Linked DNA regions of Drosophila melanogaster. The protein of the gene in region 3 interacts with the protein of the main gene of each other region in a pairwise test. Each region holds a gene or a part of one and is shown on either strand. Other genes may lie near its edges. The genes, in order: CG13124, CkIIalpha-i3, trbd and CG31244.

The links.
Region 1: the proteins of trbd (region 3) and CG13124 interact in a two-hybrid assay, tested with the Drosophila melanogaster proteins (one large-scale study listed by BioGRID).
Region 2: the proteins of trbd (region 3) and CkIIalpha-i3 interact in a two-hybrid assay, tested with the Drosophila melanogaster proteins (one large-scale study listed by BioGRID).
Region 4: the proteins of trbd (region 3) and CG31244 interact in a two-hybrid assay, tested with the Drosophila melanogaster proteins (one large-scale study listed by BioGRID).

The regions. Positions count from the first base shown.
Region 1 is NT_033779.5:9,902,851-9,910,570, reverse strand, and holds CG13124 (uncharacterized protein), read left to right. Parts: upstream 1-1,937; 5' UTR 1,938-2,146; exon of another isoform or gene 2,147-2,263; intron 2,264-2,715; 5' UTR 2,716-2,963; intron 2,964-3,023; 5' UTR 3,024-3,520; intron 3,521-4,127; 5' UTR 4,128-4,397; coding exon 4,398-4,538; intron 4,539-4,599; coding exon 4,600-4,696; intron 4,697-5,279; coding exon 5,280-5,433; intron 5,434-5,487; coding exon of another isoform or gene 5,488-5,518; coding exon 5,519-5,744; intron 5,745-5,812; coding exon 5,813-6,289; intron 6,290-6,354; coding exon 6,355-6,567; intron 6,568-6,629; coding exon 6,630-6,854; 3' UTR 6,855-7,192; downstream 7,193-7,720. Other genes in the region: Etl1, read left to right, coding at 1-82, 139-285, 345-647, 706-1,332; Muc30E (mucin 30E), read left to right, coding at 7,454-7,456, 7,513-7,720.
Region 2 is NT_037436.4:708,089-712,346, reverse strand, and holds CkIIalpha-i3 (CKII-alpha subunit interactor-3), read left to right. Parts: upstream 1-1,985; 5' UTR 1,986-1,989; coding exon 1,990-2,037; exon of another isoform or gene 2,038-2,063; coding exon of another isoform or gene 2,064-2,099; coding exon 2,100-2,609; intron 2,610-2,733; coding exon 2,734-2,790; intron 2,791-2,852; coding exon 2,853-3,014; intron 3,015-3,063; coding exon 3,064-3,135; intron 3,136-3,192; coding exon 3,193-3,267; intron 3,268-3,323; coding exon 3,324-3,356; intron 3,357-3,418; coding exon 3,419-3,637; 3' UTR 3,638-3,746; downstream 3,747-4,258. Other genes in the region: CG13896 (uncharacterized protein), read left to right, coding at 590-602, 660-1,405.
Region 3 is NT_033777.3:9,705,458-9,713,006, forward strand, and holds trbd (trabid), read right to left. Parts: upstream 5,581-7,549; 5' UTR 5,024-5,580; intron 4,092-5,023; 5' UTR 4,059-4,091; coding exon 3,931-4,058; intron 3,868-3,930; coding exon 3,279-3,867; intron 3,219-3,278; coding exon 3,011-3,218; intron 2,955-3,010; coding exon 2,228-2,954; intron 2,163-2,227; coding exon 1,918-2,162; intron 1,862-1,917; coding exon 1,650-1,861; intron 1,584-1,649; coding exon 1,435-1,583; intron 1,370-1,434; coding exon 1,291-1,369; 3' UTR 539-1,290; downstream 1-538. Other genes in the region: dmt (dalmatian), read left to right, coding at 5,753-6,233, 6,293-7,549. UniProt on the Drosophila melanogaster protein: Positive regulator of the Wnt signaling pathway. Specifically cleaves 'Lys-63'-linked ubiquitin chains. May act by deubiquitinating APC protein, a negative regulator of Wnt-mediated transcription.
Region 4 is NT_033777.3:19,396,930-19,400,262, forward strand, and holds CG31244 (uncharacterized protein), read right to left. Parts: upstream 1,639-3,333; 5' UTR 1,554-1,638; coding exon 588-1,553; 3' UTR 501-587; downstream 1-500. Other genes in the region: INO80 complex subunit, read right to left, coding at 1,810-1,977, 2,038-2,299, 2,364-2,704, 2,768-2,945, 3,076-3,216, 3,283-3,333.

The DNA.
Region 1 (7,720 bases), on a different chromosome or scaffold from region 3:
GGAGCTAATCTCTCTGCTCTGCTTCGTGATGCCCAAATTCTTTGCCAAGAGCATTGAGGACATAAAATCGTTGTTTGCTAAGGTAAAACAAAGATTGGTTTCACACAAAACAATATATAAACTTCATGTTCCTTGCAGAAGGGAAAAAGCGATGGAGATCAGGATGAGGTTTCACAGTTCCAGGAAACACAAATCCAGAGAGCAAAGCGTATCATGAAGCCATTTGTACTCAGACGGCTTAAGAAAGATGTCCTTAAGAACCTGCCCAAGAAGCTAAGCCTGGTGGTAAGTACGTCGGGCGAAAATAAATATTATACAATAATTAAATTGTTTTTTATTTAAAGGAAAAAGTGCCCATGAGCAGTCAACAGAAAATATACTATCACGAGCTGGTCGATTATTATTCCAATAACAAGGGCGAGGTGTGCAGCAGCAGCGAAAGGGCCGGCATAGCGATCATGATGGAGATGCGCCGCATTGCAAACCATCCGTTGCTGATGCGTCACTACTTCACCGACGCCAATCTACGTGGATTCTCTAAGCGCCTGGCTAATGCCAGTTCCTTTAAAAAGACCAACGAGCAATACATCTTTGAAGAGCTAGCCGTTATGTCAGACTTTCAGGTCTATCAGATGATGAACAAGCATGTAAGTGACTATCAAAGAGGTTGTCCAATGACAATGACTAAATTTGTGCATCTTTCAGGAGTTTTACGACGTGAAAATACCCGATAATTTGATATGCGATTCTGGAAAATTCCTCTACCTGGATACGTTGCTTCCAAAACTGAAGGCAGAAGGACACCGTGTGTTGCTTTTCAGCCAGTTCACCATGATGCTGGACATTGTGGAGGAGTATCTGCGAATACGAAAGTTTGGTTTCTGTCGCCTGGACGGGGCGACCGCCGTAAATGTCCGCCAGGATTTGATCACCGACTTCAATGGGGACGATAGCATCTTTGTGTTCCTACTCTCCACCAAAGCCGGTGGCGTTGGCATCAACCTGACGGCTGCCGACACCTGTGTCATTCACGATATCGACTTCAACCCGTACAACGATAAACAGGCCGAGGATCGGTGTCATCGCATGGGACAGCAGCGTCCGGTGACCATTTACCGTCTCATTTCCGAGAGTACCATCGAGGAGGGCATCCTGATGGCCGCCGAAGAGAAGCTAAAACTAGAAAAGGACATTACTTCCAACGAGAAGGGCGAGGTGCACGAGCAGCGATGTGTGGTCAAGCTGTTGACCACAGCCCTTGGCTTGGACAAGGATCAGGAGGAGCAGCTAAACAATTCACTAAACAACTCCATAGCCTCGCCCGCCAAATAGGCATTCTCGTTGTCCTCGTTCTCGTCCTTGTCCCCACCTCCGTATTTATTCTGCGCGAGCATTTGATCAACTTGGTCTAATCGTCCTACCGCTGTCAAATCCTGTTAACATCGTTTGAATTATTCTAACAATATTGTATTTGTATATTTTTTAAACTTGTATGCAAGGAGAGATTTGGTGTATGGTATGCCAAAAGTGGATCATAAATCGAGTTAGTAATTTTTCACCGTTGAGGCGACATTAGTTTTTCTTCATTAGTAACAGCAACATTTCCACGATAAACCAAGGCAGACAAGTTAATATTCTTGTTTTATTGATTTGTCATCATGATTAGTTTTCATTTCTGTAATTTCTGTTTATGTATCGAATTGAAACTATTGTTATAAGGATAAAGATCATTTTGTGTACGAATGCGATCATGTTCATTTATTTCTACATATTTGCTCTATAGTTCGAGCCGCTCGACAACCCTAAACGGATCGCTCTCGCATTTTCCCACGAGATTCTTTTGGTTGTGTGGTGCAAAGAGAAGCGGAGAATCGCTTTCCAGAGAGCACAACTGTAATGAAGAGCTTTCGGCTGGCGCGGCGATTCATCAAGTCTTTAGTCTTCAACTGATCGCTCGCGCCGATGATTTAATTTTTAAGTTAAAGCCTGCGCCCAGTGTAGCAGCCGGCAGCGTTACTCACATCCATATACATACATACGTGCGAATATACATACATGCTCACATAATACGGCGTACATCGATAAATAGATATACCCCGCAGATATAGTGTCTCGATCGACAGCAACGAACCCATGGAAACCTAAAGTAAAACCAAAATTCCAAGGTTCCATTGTCCCGTAGTTAAATGTGTTTAAATCCAATTACATCCCCGATCCTTTATATTTTGCTCTTACGAATCGGGATTATGTGATTCATGCATAAGTACATACGTTTCCTCCCCGAATACTTTCTTGAATTCTATTTAAAAATAGACAAACTGTTTGCGAGCGGAAATCATATTGTGCCGCGGCGGCGACTAAAACGCTAAATAAATCGGGCCAATAATTTGAAATAGTCTGTTCTTTTTTTTATTTTGTCTTTCTGCCAGCCCGCTGATATTATTGTTTTTGACCAACGGAAACGGAAGCAACGCCAACTGCATATAGGTTTATAGATGTATCTACATAGTGCTGCGATACAGTCATCATTCGCAGCGCTGTCATATACTATAAATATAGATGCGGCGGCACATGTGAGCAGTTTTTGGCAATTGCCAAAGAATACGGCGCACAAGTCGGGTGAAAACAAACAGCGCGTGCAGGCTAAACATGAAGAGTAGTATAGGAAAATATAAATAACAATTAATAATCCCCTCATTTTGGCCGCGCCTGTATGCGTGTAGTGACCGCTTGTATGTGTACGTGTGAGAGTAATCCGAACAATAACTATATTATATACATAAATAGCGAGCGATCTGCATTAAATGAGAGAAAAATCACAATAAAAAGAAAAACGAACGAACACAACAACGCGAACAAAAATTAAGAAACCAAAACGGAATCGGTAATAATTGACGACGAGCAGACAACGAGCCGAGAACAAGCAGCACAAAGCGACAAACCAAAAATAGACGATACCAACGGTGCGTATACTTAACGAGCCACCCGCTCATATCACTCATCTCGCCCTCTCGCTCGCACAGCAGCCACCAGTCATCCGAGCAAAAGCAACAACAATAGGCACTAAAATCAATTGTGATCACAGTGCGTTTGTGTGAGTGCGTATGCGTATGCGTATCTGTGCCTTTTTTTGCATTTGCCGCTGTATCTGCCTGCATCTGTATCTGTGTCTAGAGGCCCGCAATCCATAACCATCTAGTGTATTACCCCATATGCGGACTATTTGGGCGTGGAGGGACGCTTCGAAATATTAATTATTTCTGACACTGTTTACGGCTTGACTTGGCGCATGCCAAGCATGATTAAACGAGACACGAAAGAGCGTATCTACGAAGTAGATAAATATCTTTATACGAACAACTAAGCTGCGGCACCAAGCAACAATCGAATCGACGAATAGCAACAACGCACAAACAAACCCATCTATATATACACTATAGACAGAGATAAACAAAAGCTCAAGCAGCAACAGCAGCAGCAACAACGAAACAATTTGAAGGAAATATTTTTGCACTAAAAGGTGAGTATATCCGTCCATCCGACGCTGATTCATAATACCAGCCTAGCTTATTCCGAGCACTCTGTTTGGCAATCTGAGAATGGGAAGTGTAGAGCAATTAGCGAGGCAAGTTCACATTGCTATGATAGTAGTCACTCTCACAGGGCAGTTAACCTATGTAAGATTCTCTAAGTTCGTTAATTACCACATTTTGACAAGTTCATTGTTTTATTGATATAAGTGGATGGTACATATAAGTAAGAAGAGTCAAAGATTTATTCAAGCCACATTTTGTGATAATAGATGGTAGAGAGGCCTGACTGTACAATGTATCTTTCGTATGTATCTTTCGCGGAGACTCACTTCGGACTTCTTGTGGGCCGCAGAATAAGAATTACTCGGGGGCTGATGTCATGTTCGGAGATGAAGTGCTCTAGCCAGAGGTTCCAAACCAGATGCAACTCCTACGCTCGGCCATAAAGCCGGTTGGTTGCTCGACAAGATCAAGTAGTTTGCGCCTCCCTCTCGCATGTGGGTTAAAGAGTTTTTGTGTATCTTACTTGATATATGTTGACAATAATATAATGCGATATGCTGAAGTATATAATTAATTTTCATTGTATTCCAGACCCGGCAATCTGAATCTGCAAAAGGGGAAGATATCCCTCAACATCGTATTAAGAAGAGAACTCAACTCGATAAAGGAGGAAAGGAAACCAACTATTGTGATATGTACAAATTTACTCAAATACTGAAGCCACACATTTAGACGTTTATTCGACGGAATCCCAGTTGTGAATCGATTAACCGGAGGATAATCTACCAAAGATTAGGCTTTCATCTTCAATTAGGTTTTACCCAAATAGAGCAGAAGCAGTACTCGCGCAAAAATCGCAGGATGGCCGAAAAGGTGGAACTACTGGCCCAGGCCAGCATGAATGGCCAACAGAATGATACGCGGAAGGTGCGCAAATCACCGGAATTTCAGCCCGGCGTTATCTCCCGCGAACGCAGCTTTGTGCGCACCTCAAATCAACAGGTGGGTACACCATATCGATGTCGATTAGCAGCCATATTTATATAATTGTTTGTTCATTCAGAATATCAACAAACGGCGAAGTCTGGCTTTCAACGTACCTGGCAATCAGACGGGACAGATGAGGGGCAAACCAGCCATGGATATCTACAGGCCTCCCAGTGAGTTGTTTTAGTCATTCGTTATAAATTCTCTAATTCGCTTGGGTGCTTGGCAGGGTGCTCGGTGCTAAAGAAGTTAAAGAACTCAATATAATAGAGAATTTTTATATTTCGAGGATATTTAATCGGTATTATTTTAGTGGTGGCTTAGAAATACAAACACATCAAGTGTAGATATATGCATTTGGACGAGAAAGGTACTGAATAATCAAAAACATACATGTACATATAACGATATTTATTATAGGCATATTTTATAGGGACTATTTCCGTTTTTTTTCCAGCTTAGTCCTTAAAAAGTGAGATTGAGCATATTTAAAAATGTAAATATTAAATGTCAATAGTCACATATGTACTTCAGCCAGCCCAGCTTAAGATGCTCTATTCTTTGCTGCCAGCTTATCAGTTCCAATTAATACTTACTGAGACCACATTTTTCTTTTGATTCTTTTCATATCTCTGTCTCATACCCTGTACATTCCGTCCCTCCACACAATGTTGTCCTACCCCCCAACATCATCACATACACTCTTGGGTATACCGACCCTTCCCCAACAATAATCCCCACTTGACTCTGTCTCAGATGTGCGCGGAGAGCTAGCCGCTCCAGCCGGTGGTGTCGGTGGTGATGGTCCGAATGGTGCTATCGGTGGTGTCGCCAACAAGCTGAACGTCAATGCCCAGGAGTTCACAATGACAACCAGCTCCGGGGCACCGGCCGAGGCACTCGGCAACCGGTAATGCAAAGTCTTTTAATTCCATTGTTTACCCCTCTTCCCGTCTCCTTGCAGAGCTAAACTACAGTCTACAACATTCTTCCAGTTCGTCGCTAATACTTCCGCTCACCAATGGACCCGGAGTGGGAGTTGCACCGGGTTTGGGTCCGTACGGAAACGTGAATCGCCGCCAGGCCGGACACTCCCTCGGCAACATGCCGGGCTTGAAGGCCAACCACCGGTCGATCCTGGTGACGTATCCAATCAATACCGGTGCCCTCAGCGGTCAGCTGCCGCTAATGAACTCGCCATCCAGTGGAAATATACTTCACGTGAGCTCTAATTTAAAAATATTGGTAAAAAAAAACAATATTTCAATAAATAAACACCTAAATTCCAGACAACAAATCGTGTAAAGTTTGCACCTGAGCCCCGAGGTCACAAAGTGGCTTCGCATAATCAGTTTGGTCAACTAAACAACAACTATGCTCAGCCTTATCAGGCGAATATTAATGGAGTAGATCCTTACATGAATGGAAATGCACTGCAACGCTCCAAGTCGTTGTCGTCGGCGGATGCCCTTACTCGTGGAATGGCCGGATTGGGACTAGGTTTGGGCAACGAGGTGGCCGACATAGGACAGTTCACGCCAGAGATCCAGGCGCTTATTGACACGGCCCTGGAGGATCCCAATAAACTGAACTCTCGCTGTCTCATGGAACTGACATCGCAGTTCATCAAACGCGCGGTGGAGAGTCGCCGTTTTGCTCTGCCAATATCACGACTGTGTCTGAACATCATTGCCCGGGAGCAGAAGGAAACGTTTCTCGAGGCGCTCCTCAACACATGCCGTCAGTGGTACCAGGAGCGTGAGAAGGTAGGCAATTCAGCATAAATTTCCATGATCATTTCATATTTAAAAATCTTTTACCCCGCATGCAGCTGTTGTTTGCCATCCAGGGCATGAAGTCGCCATCACGTGTCCGATTCACTGCCTTTATGGCCTTCCTTACGGAAATGTTTTGTCAGCTGAAACGTCGGCAGCTCCAGCTACGCACCCACCACGAGGGCACTCCTCCGCCACTGGTACTGCTTAGTCTGCTCTCCAAATGTTGCGGGGATTGCGTGCGTCCACCCATTAGATCACTTTCAGAGGTACGTTTTTGATTGATCAAGTGGTTGGAATAATACATGTGATTACTATTCATAACTTTCAGATTGAGTGCTTGTTTTATGTTTTGACCTGTATTGGCCAGGACATGGAGCAGCAGTTGCCCCAGCAACTGGAGTTACTCATGAGTCTGGTTCGCGATGCCTTTTTGAATGCCGGCGAATCTGCGGCCTCCATTCGGCGCACTCTTCTCCAACTCATCGAGCTGAAGGCCTCCCACTGGCAGCTACCAGGCAATACGGTTCTTTACTACACGCACACTAACAATTAGGAACGAGATCTGGAGCTGGGGACATGGCGGGGATAAGGGCACTGTGCAAGCATCAGGACACCATGAGCAATTGATTCTGTTGTCGCATTGCATTTAGGGCCTGGAAAACTTCTGTTCTATTTATCTTATTGTATTCTTACCTAGACATAAGCAATATTTATTTCGGCAGCAGCTATAGAGAGAAACTAACCCGAGACTTGCACACTACACACCAAGCACAGTACCAAATAAGATCGAACTCTTGGATTCGATATCTTTGGACTGTGCTATAATCTAAGGCTCAACATTTATGTGAATCCATATATTTATGTGTAATAAATCACAGCTAGTCAAACGAGGGTGCAAGTTTATTTTATGCGGGGCACTGCATTATTGGTCATCACAAACAAAAAGACAATAAAACAGTATGCTTCAAATGCATACAAATTTTAAAAACTTATCTTTTTGGTTTTGTAATAATGACTCGCGCTTACCTGTTGAACTTTGTTGAACTACGACCCTGGACGACCTTATCAGCGGCCTGCTATGCCATTTATTCTGCTCCCTATTTAAGCACCAACTAAGGCTCAAAAATCCAGAGTCTTGCTCGACAAGTTGCAATGGTAAGTCGAACATAAGATTAGTAGTTACCTCATACCAATATTGTCCTTAACTATAGGTCGTTCTAAGTTGTTTTATTTGGCTTGCCCTTTATCACTCTGCAAATGCAGCGCTGGAGGGCAGTGAAATTAAGTTTGGGGACGAATCAACTACAGAATCGGCTGAAAAATATCCTGATTACTGCTGGATAAATCCTTTTCTCCCGGGCTGTCCATTTGGTCCGGGTGATGGCAATAATTCGACCACAAAGATTTCAACACTGGCAA
Region 2 (4,258 bases), on a different chromosome or scaffold from region 3:
AATTTATTACTACAAAAATCAATATTGGTTTATTAAACTTTTTTTTACTGTGTATACTCGAGTATACGGTACCCGGTTATTTTACATTTATACTACTGCGCCCCTATCGACGAACTGTTTGGGCGACATCTAGCGTCTGTAAATGAAAGTCGCATTGCCGGTAGATGGCAGCACAGTAATAGTTATGTGCTTATTTGTAATGTATGTAGGTCCATTTCAATATTAACTTTCTATAATTAAGTTGCGGGAGGTCTCAACCTGCGGCAAGTACTCACTAAATCCTTACTGCGAGATTTTTAAATTCAAAAACTACATAATGGCAATTAAATGAGGCTAAGATGAGTATTTATATAAAATAAATGTTCTCTTCGGTAGCGAGTATTGATATAGATTAGGCAAAAAATCCATTTTCAAAAAACGAAAGCCTATTCCCATCTTTGTTTCGTGCAACCTTTTCGATAGTTATCGATAGAGAAAAATCGAAACACATATGTTTGGATCATGATACCTTTCTCTTACGCCGTCCGAAAGAACTGGCAGCCTGGGAAACAAAACTTATTCGTCATCAACTGAATAGCTATTGTAAACAATGGATACAAAGTGTGAGTAAAAAACATAAATTCAAGAAGAAAACTATATATATACTCACAATAAGCCAGCTTACGAAAGGAAGTGGTGTACATCCAACACCCGACTTTTATTGTCCCTTTACAATGAACGCCAAGCTGATTTTCGGGATCCGAAAAAAAAGATCAAGGACATTTGGGGGGAAATGGTCGTTGCCCTTGAAAGCCAGGGAATGACAGATATCGATGCAGTTCAGCTGGATCGAAAATTTAGGAACCTGAAGAAGACCTACTATAGCATAAGGAGCAAGCTCCTGGCGAAGGTACCGCATTTCCATCCAAACTGGCAGTTCTACGACGAGATGTCCGAAATTCTAAAGGATGACCCTGTCCCACCGCCGCAGGAACTTTCCATCAATGATTTCGATGAAGCGGTGGTCAGTTTGGAGACCGGTATCCAGAAAGGCAGGATGCTGTCTATGGGCACCACTGTCAGCACAGTTATTCCCCGCCAAATGCGTACGTATCGCAAACGAAAGCAGCCATTGGATGATGTCGATATCAAGATCCAGAAGGACTACGAAGTGCAAACGGATCGGCAGCGGGATGGGGAACAGTTTACAGTCTTTAATGCCGCCGAACCCAATACTAATGATTTGTCAGAGTCTGCGGCCGAGATCTCCATCAGCAACGACGAAGAGGCATTGAGACACCTAAGAGCGCTCCAGGAGTACGCCATGATCCATGATAATTTCAGGGCCATAGGACTGCTAATACAGGTGGAGCACGCCATTCAATATCCAGCCCAGATCAAGGACTTCGAGGTGGATCAAACGTAGTGTCCTTATAAACAAGCACGTAATCTACTGGAAAAGCAAAGATAAGATAAGGCACATACCTAATTTATACCTCTATATTTAAGATTTTAATATTTTATAATATATATACTTTAATTTACTTTATTTAAATATGGTTCATGCACTTGCTAACACCACTGAAAAATGAATCTGGTTCTAAACAAATCTGGCTTGGGTATTGGCTAAAATATTGCGCTGTGGCAATACCGTTTTCTAAAACCTATAGTTACAACAATCTAAAGGAATTTCACAAGAAAAACCAACATTTCTGAAATCTTATTAGTATTTTGAAGAGTAACAAAGTGAATCCTGCCGAGATCAACGCCGATCTGTAAGCAAGTTCGTCTTGGAAATTGACAAAAACCGAAAAATCTGGCAGCACCAATATGACACTAAAGGTTCAAGAAAAGACCTTCGGTTGCACAAAATAGAAAATTCAAACATAATTGAAAAGAATTAACTAGTATCGTGAAAACATGTAATACAGTTAATAAAAAGTTATAGTATTATGCAATATTGATCAAATGAAGCAAACTTTATCGATAACTTCGAAATTGCAACCCTAAATGCATCGGATGGGCAATACCAATCTGAAGTCTACAAAAAAGCATATTGTGGAAGTCTAAGTTTTGTTAAATTTATGGAAAAGGAATCCAATTTATCGGACAACTTGCAGTCCCGGTTATTTGCACTGGGTCCTGCCCCGCCAGGATTTCGTCCACCGGATGCTACCGCCTTTGCCACAGCGGAGTCAAATCTTCGTAATGCCATCCGCTACCTTAATGATACCTATGGCGAGCTCGATCAGCTGCGCACTGTCATCCAGAAGGAGAAGAATAACTCGAAGCGTACGTCCTACAAGGCGCAGTCCATGATGCTTGCCATGCAAGTGATACGTTTCAAAGGACTTATTGGGAAGTACAGGGACATTCTGATTGGCCTGCAGGATGCCGAAATCATCAAGGTCAAACAATACATAGAGCAAATGGTGGAGATGAGGAACAAAATCCAGGCAAAGACCGATCCCACACAGCGCGAGTTCCAAGTGGGCAGCTCAATCTCACTGGTGCAGGAACAGCGCAAGACCAAGAGAATCTGCCGCAGGTGGCGGGATCGCCTGGTCCAGCTGACGGAGGCCAAGATGGACAAAACTGAGCAACTTACTGAGAAACCAAAGCTGATCAATGTAAGAACCGTTACAAAAGAACTTATACATATTTTCATTGCGCTTCCAATATCCATCCATGTTTTCATGAAAACTCTCATCGAATTCTGATCGAATTTCGACTGAACTCGATATGCTTTTTTAGAAACCTAGAAATATGTTAAATGCAAAAACCAACAAGTGGAAGGAAGCTGTAAGCTTGGTGAGTATAGCCAAACATATAAAGGATAAGTTAAATGCTAGTAAATATAAAACTAATCCTAGCAACAAAGCGGTCTAATTAAAAGTGGCTGTAAGAGGTGTGAATACCTAAGAAAGCTGACTAAGAATCGTCCATCCAAACTTTGTAAGGTGTGTAAAAAATGGTCTGATGATGAAAAAGCAAAAGCGGCAGGAAATAAGAAAGCCAACAAAACGCCAATAATGGTATGACACTATTGAAAAGTCGCAACATAAATTAATACTATTATTGCAGGCGAAGTCGAAAAAATTAGAAGTACGCGTGCGTACGGATTCTGAAGAAGCTATAATTAAAATAGAGATAGAGGTGGGTGTGTACAAGTAGATCAACAGTAACATTAGCACTTATTATTAATTTTCTTAGCATGGTGAATTTACCGATGAAGAGGAAATTGGGTCATTGGAAAAGGAAACGACCTTAAAAGATGAGATCAAGGAGGTTAGTTGTTTCTTCAACCTGAAAAATGTGTTTAATTTTGGAATGTTTTTTTTTAGACTGTTGAATCTCACGACACGGCAGCAGTTGAGGTAAGTAAACAGGTCCTTGGACTGTAATAGAACTAACGTAACGATAAATGACTCAATGACAGGAGGAAAATGAGACCAGTCAAGACGATGTGGACCCCAAAGTAGTCGCTTCCTTACAAAATTCACTGAAATCCATCGACTGTAAAAATATGGCCTTGGCCTACGTGAAGGTCTTACAGGAGTACGCCATGTTAAATGATAACTATCGGGCCATTGGACTACTTACTGAAGTTGAAAAATCAGTTTTAAATCCGCCTCAGAACGAGGATTTCGATCTATGATCTTATTGACGCCACAAAAATAAAGTTTAGTTTTTATATGTAATCTACAATTAAAATGTTCGTGTGTCCTGCCTTTGAGAGTCAAGACCCAAAATGTGTAAATAATTGTAATATGCGAAAAGAGTTTATAGAGTGGAATAACCAACAGGGTCCCACTTAAATGTGGTAAACGTTAAATTAAGCACTAGATATAATTTGAGCAAAAATAGCTTTATATATATGTATGTGTACATATCAAACCAGTTTCAGCTCAGATTAGGTGGTAATGCGATTTGTGTTTTTCGGCATGTTAAACCAGTTATAGCTGCTTTAGCGAGAGAATATTTACTCTCGATCCGAAAATAAATCCCATACCGCGAACGAATACCACCACGATCGGAATCGGAACGTGGGAAGTCGGTTTAGATCGCGAGAGAAAGAGCGGAATGTCTCTCGCAAAGATACGGTTTTTGCCGCTCCGCCAAACGGAGGAGAGTCCAGATCTCTGCAATGTTCGGACCGCATGCTCAGTCATTGAGTTGCACTCGCTCTGGCAACTTTAAACACGTGCGACCGCACATATTTTCTGTTTAATGTGCCTAAAAAACTGCTGTATATTTTCAACAAAGTGTACTTTATGCT
Region 3 (7,549 bases):
GCTTCCAAGAATACACTAAAATTAACCCCAAAGATAAGTTTCGTATGGAAATAGCGGTTGGGTGTTAAACTTGGCTACAATTGGAAAGGTGGGGAGCTCGGCTGTGGAAGAGCATGTATTAGTGATGACACCGTTCGTGCCACTGTACCGTTCCCTATAAATTTGATAATCTATAAAAATAACAAGTAATTCCATAAATGATGCTGCTTATAATTTACTTTGTACTTTATAGAGACAGAAATAATAATGAACTACTTTTTTTTATCTATCTACTAGTAAAGTTAGTTTGGGCAATAAAGTAGGAAAGTCCATACTTTATTAAAATAAATTCAACTATAGTCATTTTGTTTCCGTTTAAATCTTTACTTAAAACTTTTATTTAAATAAGTGATTTTTTTTATGCGTTTTGCGTGTACATTTGCACAATAAGCTTTCTTAGAAGTTAATAATAATAATTGTAATAACATTACTAACAAAAATAATAATGAGATAAAATTCCATTTATAATACAATAAGAATAAAATTCATTATGTTATTGGCCCTTTGTTCAACTGTCTAGAACCATAGGATTTCTATATATGTTATATAATTATAGATATTATATTTATAGGCATGAATGTATAATGATTCATAATAATTCCAAAAAGTGTTTTAAAAACTATCAATAAACATTTCAATGACGCTTTCATTTTCACCCGCTGCATAATTATGTTGTGTGTTCGCCACCCATTTAAAATTTAATAGTACATTGAGATTTGCAATATTTTAAGTCCGGAGCTTGGGTATTCACATTAACTACCGCGTACATAGGTGTACAAATTCCACCGCTTAAATTCGCATCTGCCTTTCGTACACGTAATCATTTAATGGATTGTTTCACATGTGAGTGTAATTAAATCTACCAGTGTATAGCTTCAATTTCGTAGTAAATGTGGTCTATATTGCCTCGACGACCCAGTGTGAATAAATTTGACTAAAATCAACGAACGTTGACTTGGGAACGGATATGATATACATACGTCGATCAATCTATTTTCGTACGTTGCTACTTAACCTTTAGTTTGCTTTCAATTTAGTTACAACTACAACTTTCAACTGCTTGCATATATGCATATGTATTCTCTATAGTTTCCTTTAGCTAGCTGCGAGTGCAAGAGTGTAGGATCTGCACTTGTTATTCCTGTCTCAAAAATCTGCTAACGATCGCCAAAAGTACAAAATAAGGATATTGAATTCTATGCACAGCATCCTAATCAGAAGCTGGGTGACGGATGTGCCGCATCATATCCTCTACTCCTCATCCGAGTCGCCATCACTGGAGTAATGTGTGATTTGAGGGCGACGAATGAAAGGCGCCGTTATCACTTGTCTGAAAGAAAGTTTACAGGTTTAATTAGCATGTCTATGTCCGGAAGGAGAGCAAGTCATATTTACGCAATGCGGCGGTAGTGATTTAGCCACTCTTCCAGCATCTGGGCGACCAGCAAGGGACGCTTGCTTAGCTTTTGTTGCGCCACCAGTAGGCCTCCATCAGTTACGCACACGTCCAGCCATTGACGCATCATTGACTCCTCGTTGCCAACCTGCAGGCAAGGAACGGAAATGTCTAAGCTCACAATGTTCTACAGGATATTTGAATAAGCTCTCACCTCCGACTGTGTAAGGAAATGTATGGGCAAAAGTTTCAGCTCGCAGTCCATTAGCGGGAGATAGGTTACGTCCTCCACATCGTCACGCCGCCCATCGATGCGAGTGAATGGCTCCATCGGCACCAGGGCGCTGAAATGGCCACGTGTGTAGCCCAGTGCTATCGGTGACTTGGTGCAAAAGTTTTGATCCCAGAACAAAGGCAAGTAGACACCTAGAAATAAGGCAATCAAATAAATGCAATACAGCGACGTAAAAATTAATAGCTACCTTCGAAACGCGCGTATCCAATGTCCTCGCCCCGAAAACTCTTGACGTACTTCACGCCGTAAACGATAATCGGCCGACGAAGGATATGCGCCAGCGCAAAGATGTGCAGTTGCTCCAGGGACGAGCCGGGTTGGCCGGCCAATGACAGTAGTGTACTCCAGTCCTCCTCGAACTGAGAGTCCTCCAGCGTAAAGTGGAGCATCGAAGCCTGCAGCATCTCGTACTCTTTCCAGCGAGTAAAGAACCTACAATAAGAGTATCAAGACTATTAATAAGCTGACGGTTGTTAAAACAAATTCGTTTAACTTACACATGCCCGCACTGGTGCAGTGTGTCGGCGAGTGCCCGCCTAAGGATATTGTCACGATCGAAGACGCCCCAGGTGGCCTGCATGGCCGAGTCCAGCAGGCAGTCGCCAGCACTGCGGTTCCACAGTACAAACATCCGTGAGCTCAGGCGAGCAGTGATCTCCAGCGACCAATTCAAGGCCGGCGGCGGCGTCTCCAGCTGTTTCTGCGCGTCGCGGTCGAGCAGCTCATCGTAGAGCTGCTCCTGTATGGGTATCGGCAGCTCCTCAATCTCGGCGGGGAGGGCGAAGGTGGCGTGCTTTTGCACATAGTGGCAGGGTAGACCGGACTTGCGCAAGCGCAGGGTATTGGCAAAGTGGCGCCGGATATCGGCCGCCAAGTCGGGAGCCACGTAGGACGGCACACGCTTGATGCCCGGCCCCGAACCGGAGATCTGGTCCAGCAGCATCGGTAACATCTCCTCGCGATGAAAACGAATGGCCAGGTGGATCAGGGTGTGGCCCACGTCGAAGGCCGAGTTGCGGTTGAGGGCGGCAATCTCGGTGCTGGTCAACGAACGGGCTGGATTGCCACCGCAGGAGAGGTACGCCTCCACAGCGCTGTAGTTGTTCTCCACGACGCCCAGGCACGCATTCAGCCACTGCCAGTCCACCTGTCGTCGGATTTGACGCTGGCGGCGCTCCTGACGCTCTTGCAGCGTATCACAGTTGTTGATGGTTTCCGAAGAACCTGGAAAGTGAATATCAATTAGTCATACCCAGAGAAATCACATTAAAAACTCTTACCCAGTTGGTAAATGTGCTTCTTATTGAACGAGTTATTGACGCTGACGGTATCCACGTTTGGCTGCTGCAGTTGTTGCTGATTCTCCTCCTGACTGTTTAGGCTGGATGAGGCGTGCAAGTCGTTCTGCGACCCACTAATCTCCCGCTCCCTCGTCTTGCCGCACATGGAGCACTTGATGCTCCTCGGCCAGTTTTCGTAAGTGCAAGACTAAGGAAAATTCTAACTTTAAGTACATCTGAGCGAATTGGTTGGGATATGAAAACCTACGTTACACGCCCATTTGGAGACATAGCACTGCTTCTGCTGCTGCGGCGGGACGGCGGCGGAGGATGAGGATTCCCGCTGTTGCTGCGGCTGCAGCTGGAGCTGCATCTGCTGCTGTAGGACAGGCTGCCGGTGCTGGGACTGCGACTGGTTGTGAGACGCATTGGCGAGATTGTTCAGATGGGTCGCATCGTCTATGCCACGACTAAGGCTCAAACGATGGGAGGCCGTGGCGCCGATGAGCTGAACCGGCTTATTGGCCAGGTTCTCCTCCGAGCCGCTGATGCGAAGGGCTTGCAGCGCCTCTCCTGCACGATCCCCGTCCGCCTCGTTATCCATGTCCTTTTTGCCACGCTCTATCGCCTCGCCACCGCGCTTCGTGCAGCACTGAACGCAGCGCAGGCTCCGCGGCCAATTGAGATAGGTGCACACCTTGCAGGGCCACTTTTCGCTGTCCGCCACGTTGCTCTGCCGTGCCTGGCTCTGCGGCTGGAGCGAGTAGCACGTGGACGAAGGTGTGGGCGACATTACGGCTACTTCGACGGCAGCCGCCTCCTCCGCAACGGTGCAGCTCTCCTGGGCTGGACTCAGACTGCAAGAATTAGCAAGTATTAATTAGCAGAAGATTAGGTATAGATCGTCAGAGTTGTCATACCGGAAGATGTCCTCGTTGAGCAGCGGCTTGGACGCCTGGCACATGGTGCATTTCAGCGAGGATGGGTAGTTCTCGTAGGTGCAAGTTTCACATTTCCATTTCTGCGCATCGTCTTTGGTATCGCACATTGTTTATGCGCGGAGCCGGCCAATGCAGTTGATCTGCCAAGGAGAAAGGGATCATACGTTGAATATTTGATATGGGATACACGAGTGTCACCAAGTAAGGGGATCCCATAAAATATGCTTTTACTAGTCAAATCCACCTGGCTGCCTTTTTTACTTCAAAATAGTTTAATTTCTGAACAATTGTAAGCTTAGACAATCATTTTAGTCGAAGTTGGTTGAAGATACGAAGAGTTTGATCAATAATGTATAGCTATGTTGACTTTTGTCGGAAGTTAATGAGATGTTGCATTCAAAAGAAAAAGATTATCTAAAAACTAATATTGGATTTATAAGTACGCAGGGAAATCTACAATTTGGAGGACATTTCAATTTACCTTGACTTATTTTGCAAAGTATAAAGACTATATGCATGACTCGTTTTGGGGGACAACTATCTACCAATGAATGTATCTACTAAGCTACTATTCTTTGGATAAGCGAACCGAAAGGGTATCCCTAAAGTCGGTGAGCGGCGAATCCACCACTTCCGACTCGTTAATAAGGTCAAACAACGGTTAGCGAGGCAGAAGCAGTGTCCTTGACCCTGAGACATAATTCGCAGATACATCCACAGATATGTACATCTGCCTTGGCTCCATTTCCATTTCCCCCACTGGCGTCACAGTCAGCCTTCGGGTTCTCGTTGCCTGGGATTGGATTGGAATGAATTGGATAGGGTCTGGTTTTGGTAGTAGTGGTGGTATAGGTGGTAGTGGTTCAACTGCTGGGTCGGTTGCATTTATTTGTTGCCATTATAATTCGCCTATGTATGTATGGCATGTGTCGCGTGCGATGTACGTACGTATGTATGTACGCTGGTATGCCAGTTTTCGCGCTAGTTTCTTATTGGGATTCGCCCCGTGCCATCCCAACCATCCCACAACCGCCTCCACCCCCCTTCCCACATCGACGTCTTTACACAGTACCTGGCGCAGAAAATCGCAAGGCCTTTTGCAGCAGTCCCAGAAAACGCGAATGCGACTGCGACCACGACAGCGATTGGATTCGATTCGAATCGAGTCGATTTAAATATATAACACAATCACAATAGGGACCGCGAGTATAGCATTAGTATTATAGTAGCTATAAGGTGTAGTTGCTATAGTCGCCGTCGGCCACCCGCGCCCGCAGCAGCGACACTATGTCGACGTCGATCCAATATTGCCAGTAATGAGCGCTGGCAGCAGGCAGGAAAATCACAATTACAAAACAAAGACGATGAGAAAACTTTCACTCGATTTTCAGTTTGGGGGGTTTTCTTTCTTGCTTTCCTTCTCAATTTTCAGCTGTACTTGCTTGGGGCGCGTGAAACGAAACTGCCCGCACACATTCACGGCGACGAACACACGCACGGTGGATCGTAGTGCAAGGAATTTGGAATTTGGATTATTTGGAAACAGCTAATTATTTATTTTTTACATTATTGCGAGGCCAATCATCTGGTTCTCTGTCCGCCTATCGACAACTATCGGTGCTCCGTCCCTGGCGCTCAGTGTTGAAAAGTGTCTCGGTTAGCTGGTTAGTCAAGCTTCACACCTACTGGTGTTCAGTGGTTTTCATGGCAAGTCTTAGAGATCGGGGGATGGTCATACTAGTAAATAAAATGGCGGGAGCTGTACATGAATTTCATTTGGTAAACAAATTATATTCTTAAAATGGTAAGAACACGGCCGGTGCCGTGTGTTCCGTCGCCAGATGTGAACACCGCAACGAGACGCAATCCCGGGCGTCCCAAGAAACAGTCCATCGGAGCTGACTTAAGCACAACGATAAGCAAACCCGGGCGTCCCAAGAAGCTGTCCATCGGAGCTGATTTGACCACAATACGTAAACCCGGGCGTCCCAAGAAACTCGGAGCTGATTTGACCACGATAATACGAAAACCCGGGCGTCCCACGAAACTATCAAACAAACAATCTTTGACAGCCCTAAACGAGCCAGAGTGTCGCATAAGAAAATGCGTGGTAAAAATAAGGCGCATTAAGGTAAAAAACGGTGTCGTATCCGAAATTTCTCGAAATGATGCGCCTGATGTGGATGCCAGCACTTTTGAGCCGGCTCGCAACTCGACGATGTACATTCCTTCGAAGGTACAGAAATCAACGCAACCCCAAAATATCAAGGAAAATGTGGCAGGTAAGAGGCTCTCACCAGGCGGATGATGGACTTTTCTTGATAAGCACAACTACTTGCAGGTCCCGAAACATCGCCATGTCAGCAACGCATAAGGAGTAAAAGCCCTAGTGGACCGGCAGCTGAGATTTCGCCCAAAAAACCACCTCGTTTCTTCCACAGAGATCAGCCTTTAACCAGGACACGATCATCGGTGACCCGCAACGTTTTCGATTTTCTGTCGCAGTCGCAGATCGAAGATGACAGTGACAGGGAGGATCCGGCGGCAGACATAATTCAGCGTTTGGTTAAGGATGGAAAGGCCTGCGTAATGGTGCGGTCAAGAAAAATCGGCAAACCGAGAGCCAAAAGAACAGCAAAGAAGGTCCGACCTGTGGGTAATCGAAGAAAGGTTTCGACAAAAGACAATGAGCCTGAGCCAGTCAAGGTCGTTCCCAAGTCCATAGAACCGCGCCTTCAAAAGCCATCACGCTCCTTATCGACCATTTTCGAGCCCGAGGAAGATTATAGCAACGATTCGGAGCACGGATACGTGCAGCCCATCGAAGTGCCCGTCCAGGTACATGTGGAGCCGAGCACTTCTAAGCAAGCGCACGAAGGAGCCTACAGTAATTTGGCCCGATCCGTAATGCTTAACCAGACCCAGGCGCAAAATCCACTGCCATCTACAGACAGACGTCGAGAACTTATCAACATGGCGCGACAATTGGTTAGCACGCCGCTGAATCGCAGAGCTCCTCCGGTGACAGATGTTAGTGCCACCACCACTGCATTGTCGCCTATTGCCCACCAGTCTCCAAATGCAGTTAGGACCGCGGGAGGCAAATCCCCCTGGCGCGTTTCCGACGATTCACCATTGCCCAATACTTTCATGTTTGGTTTCAACAACTCCCAGATGCCATCGTACTCCAGTGATCATGTGCAACGTCGGCATGTCTATGTGCCAGATTCGCCGGTAGAGCATGCTGAGAACATCCCTCACGAGGAATCCATTTGTCCGCCTTTGCACGAGCAAAATCATGACTCAAATGCGAACGACTCGAATGAGGAGAACCGTCCCCCTCCCACAATTAGCAAATCGATGTCGATCAATGACCAGGAAAGCGAAGAGAATGCGGAGAACTTTGTGCACCTGCCGAATCCTCGGAGAACGCTGCAGAAACGAACGCCCTTTAAGGATATTAACATACTAGAAGTAGTGACACTGCCGTCTTGGAAGAAGAACGTGACGGCCACTGTTTCAAAAGAAATCACTCCTACCAGAGTGGCACCTCGTCCAATGGCGACGTCATCCCCAGCGCAACGCAGTCAAACGCGGT
Region 4 (3,333 bases), 9.7 Mb from region 3:
ACCCGTCACCACCCCTTGCTCAAGATTCACCATCGATTGCCGCAGTGCATGAACAAGTAGTTTAGCAAATGAATACAAGAGCCACACAGGGTTTTTCCGCCACCGAGATCGGGACAATGGCAAAGGAATTTCTCTCTCTATACTGACGTGTAAAATATTGTCCCAAACCTGTCTATAAATCATCAAATGAATGGGGAACAATTACTATAATGTAGAGAACTAAGAGCTAAGCCTGCATATGAAAAAATATAAAACATTTTGGAAGAAGTCATAGTACTATATTTAAAATTTATTTGACTTTCCAAATTAGTCACCGCTTATATATTCGACGTTTGAGTACCTACTCAAAGCAGTCCCAATTATAATTACGCTCTCATATGTGAAAACATATGGCTATTTTTCGTACTTGAATAGAGTACTGATCAAAACACACTTTAAAAAAAAATAGAGAAAACATTCTTTACAATAAACTATACAAATAGTTTATACGATAAAGTTCTAGAGGGTCATTAAGAGTTTTGTATTACGGATAATTTAAACTTTTGATAATTTAAAATTACTTGTGATTTTTGCCGAACTGACTTGAACTACTGGACACGCACATTGTCATAGATCTTTACGACATCTATGTCTTGAAGAAGGTTTTTACGAAACTCCTGATAGCGGGCCATTTGACGATCATTTAACTCGACGAGCGGCTTGTTTGGACAGTGTCCAACCTCCTTATGTACAATCTTGTAGTTGCACTGCCTGAGTTTGTACGCGACCTCTTGCAGGTCCAGAGGCCGACATTTGAACAAAACAGATCCTTTGGCCAAATCGGTAATGGTACTATCGGTGGCTTTGCACCACAAAGCATCAATTCGCAACGTTTGATTGAATTCCTCAAAGCTTAATGGTGTTACGCTCGGCAATGTGGCCTCAATCAAGCCAGTTTCGTTGAATAAATGTCGATTGAAGAAGCGCGCTTTGTTTTGCCGCAGTAAGGAGGCCAAGCGAAGTTTCAGTTCGGGGAGATTATCCGTCCTGATCTTGCAAACCATGGCAACCAATTGCCGCCCATAGTCCATGGGTATACTATAGGTGTGATGATTCCTCTCGCTCAACTCGCACTCCTTCAGAATTCGCTGCACTCGACTGTACGGCAATTGCAAGGGCGACAGTCGAGCCCTCAGCTCGTAGTTCTTGTCGGGATCTATGGAACCTCCCCCACGATGCACCGCTAATCGAAGCTCGTTAGCCAGTATTAACTCATCTGTCGTATCATGATCAAACTGCGCCTTTTTGGAGCTTAGTGGAACGCTGGTAAAGCCGGTCTTACTCGGGCTCCTTTCCCCATACATCGGAGCCCATCGTACTCGCTTTACGCTCGGTATCTCTGGATTATCCAGAAGCTCCAAGTCCAGCCCATTACGCTTATCGTTCTCTAATTTCGGGGAATCACTACGGATTAGGTTCGGCTTTGGTCTGTAGGGAGTAACGCTGGACTTGAGCTGAGGAAGTTTCGTAGTCTTGGTCCTGTCCATGGGTTCTAAACAGCTGTTGTTATGCATTTGAAATGAACTTGAAATTTGGACTACTTAAAGTTATTGTTGAAAATGAATGGATTTGACTAATACAATAGAAATTTCGGAGAGCGTATGAGTGAAAAGTTTTTAAAAGGCACTAATATAAATTCACAATGTGATTTCAAGAAAAAATTAAACGAAATCGAAACAAGGGACAAACTTTTTTGAAAGGCACGGTAAAAAAAATTGATATTGTACATCAATATACATAAATGAAAAAGTAAGTATAATATGAACTCACCGTATCGGCGGCTGTTAAATTAATTCCCAGTCCTCCGGCTCTCGTAGACAGTAAGAACACGAAGATATCTGCTCTCGTTTGAAAATCGGCAACCATATCGCGACGAGCGGATATCTTGCTTGAGCCATCCAGGCGCATATAGCGATGCTTGCGGTGCCACATGTACTCCTAGACATTTTATCAAAAAATTAAACTGAACAGTGATCGTTTCAAGTTTAATAAACTTACCTCGAGCAGGTCTATCATCTTGGTCATCTGCGAGTATATGAGTACTCGATGTCCATTCGCCTTCAATCGAGTTAGCAAGTTGTCAAGAACAAAAAGCTTACCAGCATCGGTAATCAGGGTTTCCTTGTCGGGCACCACAATCGAGGACCATCCACCATGAGGCTTGCACAAGGCCAATCCACTGGAGACAAGCTCCCTGCCCTGGCTATTCTCACACTGATTGTGGCGAATCTGGGACCACGCTGCAGATCGACTATCGCAGCTAAAATTGATATAAAAAAAGTTAAAAACCTGGATCGGTTTCGATGAATCCATTTGAAACTTACTATAAATATCTATGCACAGCTTGAACTTTTTGTCCCAAATCGTAAAGTATTCGTGGCATGGAAAGCGGTTCGCATACGTATTTTCTTGGCTTTCGTGGGCGATGCGGAAACTCTGGTAGCAGCAGCAGCGTCGTCACCTTAACATCGCTTTTGGCATTCGACTTTGTTTGCACCTCCACAGACTCGATTTCCAGCTTTTGCTTGGACACATCCTCCATCTCCTCGATTAGCGACGTTTTCTTCTTCAGAATCTTTGACCGAATTACACGGTGTTCGATAGTTTCCTGCATATTGTACGTAAAGTAATCGCCAAATGCGTAAACGCTGCTTTCGTTGGCGGTCTTTAAGCATAAATCATTGTATAAATTGTTCGAATAAAAATTTATAAATATAAATAATTATACCATTGCTGTGAATATGAAGTTCTTAAGGACACTGTTTGGTGGCATATAGTCGAGAGCTAGTTTGTTTTCCAACATCGGCTCCAGCAGTTGATATCTACTGTCCGGCTGCTTTTTCCACCAAAAGCGACGGTAGGCCAGCAGTGGGTATTTCTCCAAAACTCTTCGATAATGCAAAAGACTGTAGAAAAACAAACGTAAGTATTGTAAGTATTTAACCATTTGTTATTATCAAACAAAGGAGCACGACATTTGCGAATTTTGCTATTATAAACATGTTACTTACAGGTAAAGGGTATAGGAATACTCACAAATCTATCAGTCCATTTAAAGTTACTTCTACCATATCTCCCACAGATAAATCGCAAAGCCGGGTAAATCCGAAGCAACTATTCACGTTCACATCCTCAAAGAGAGACCTCTGTATGTATTCCGATTTGAAGATATTGAACCTGCAAATGGGCAGTCAAGGATTAAAAATTCAAATATGATAAAATGTTCAAAACCTATCCACTTACCGGTTATAGAGCAAGTGCTTTCGACTGGGCAGCATTCTGTGTATGAGTCCT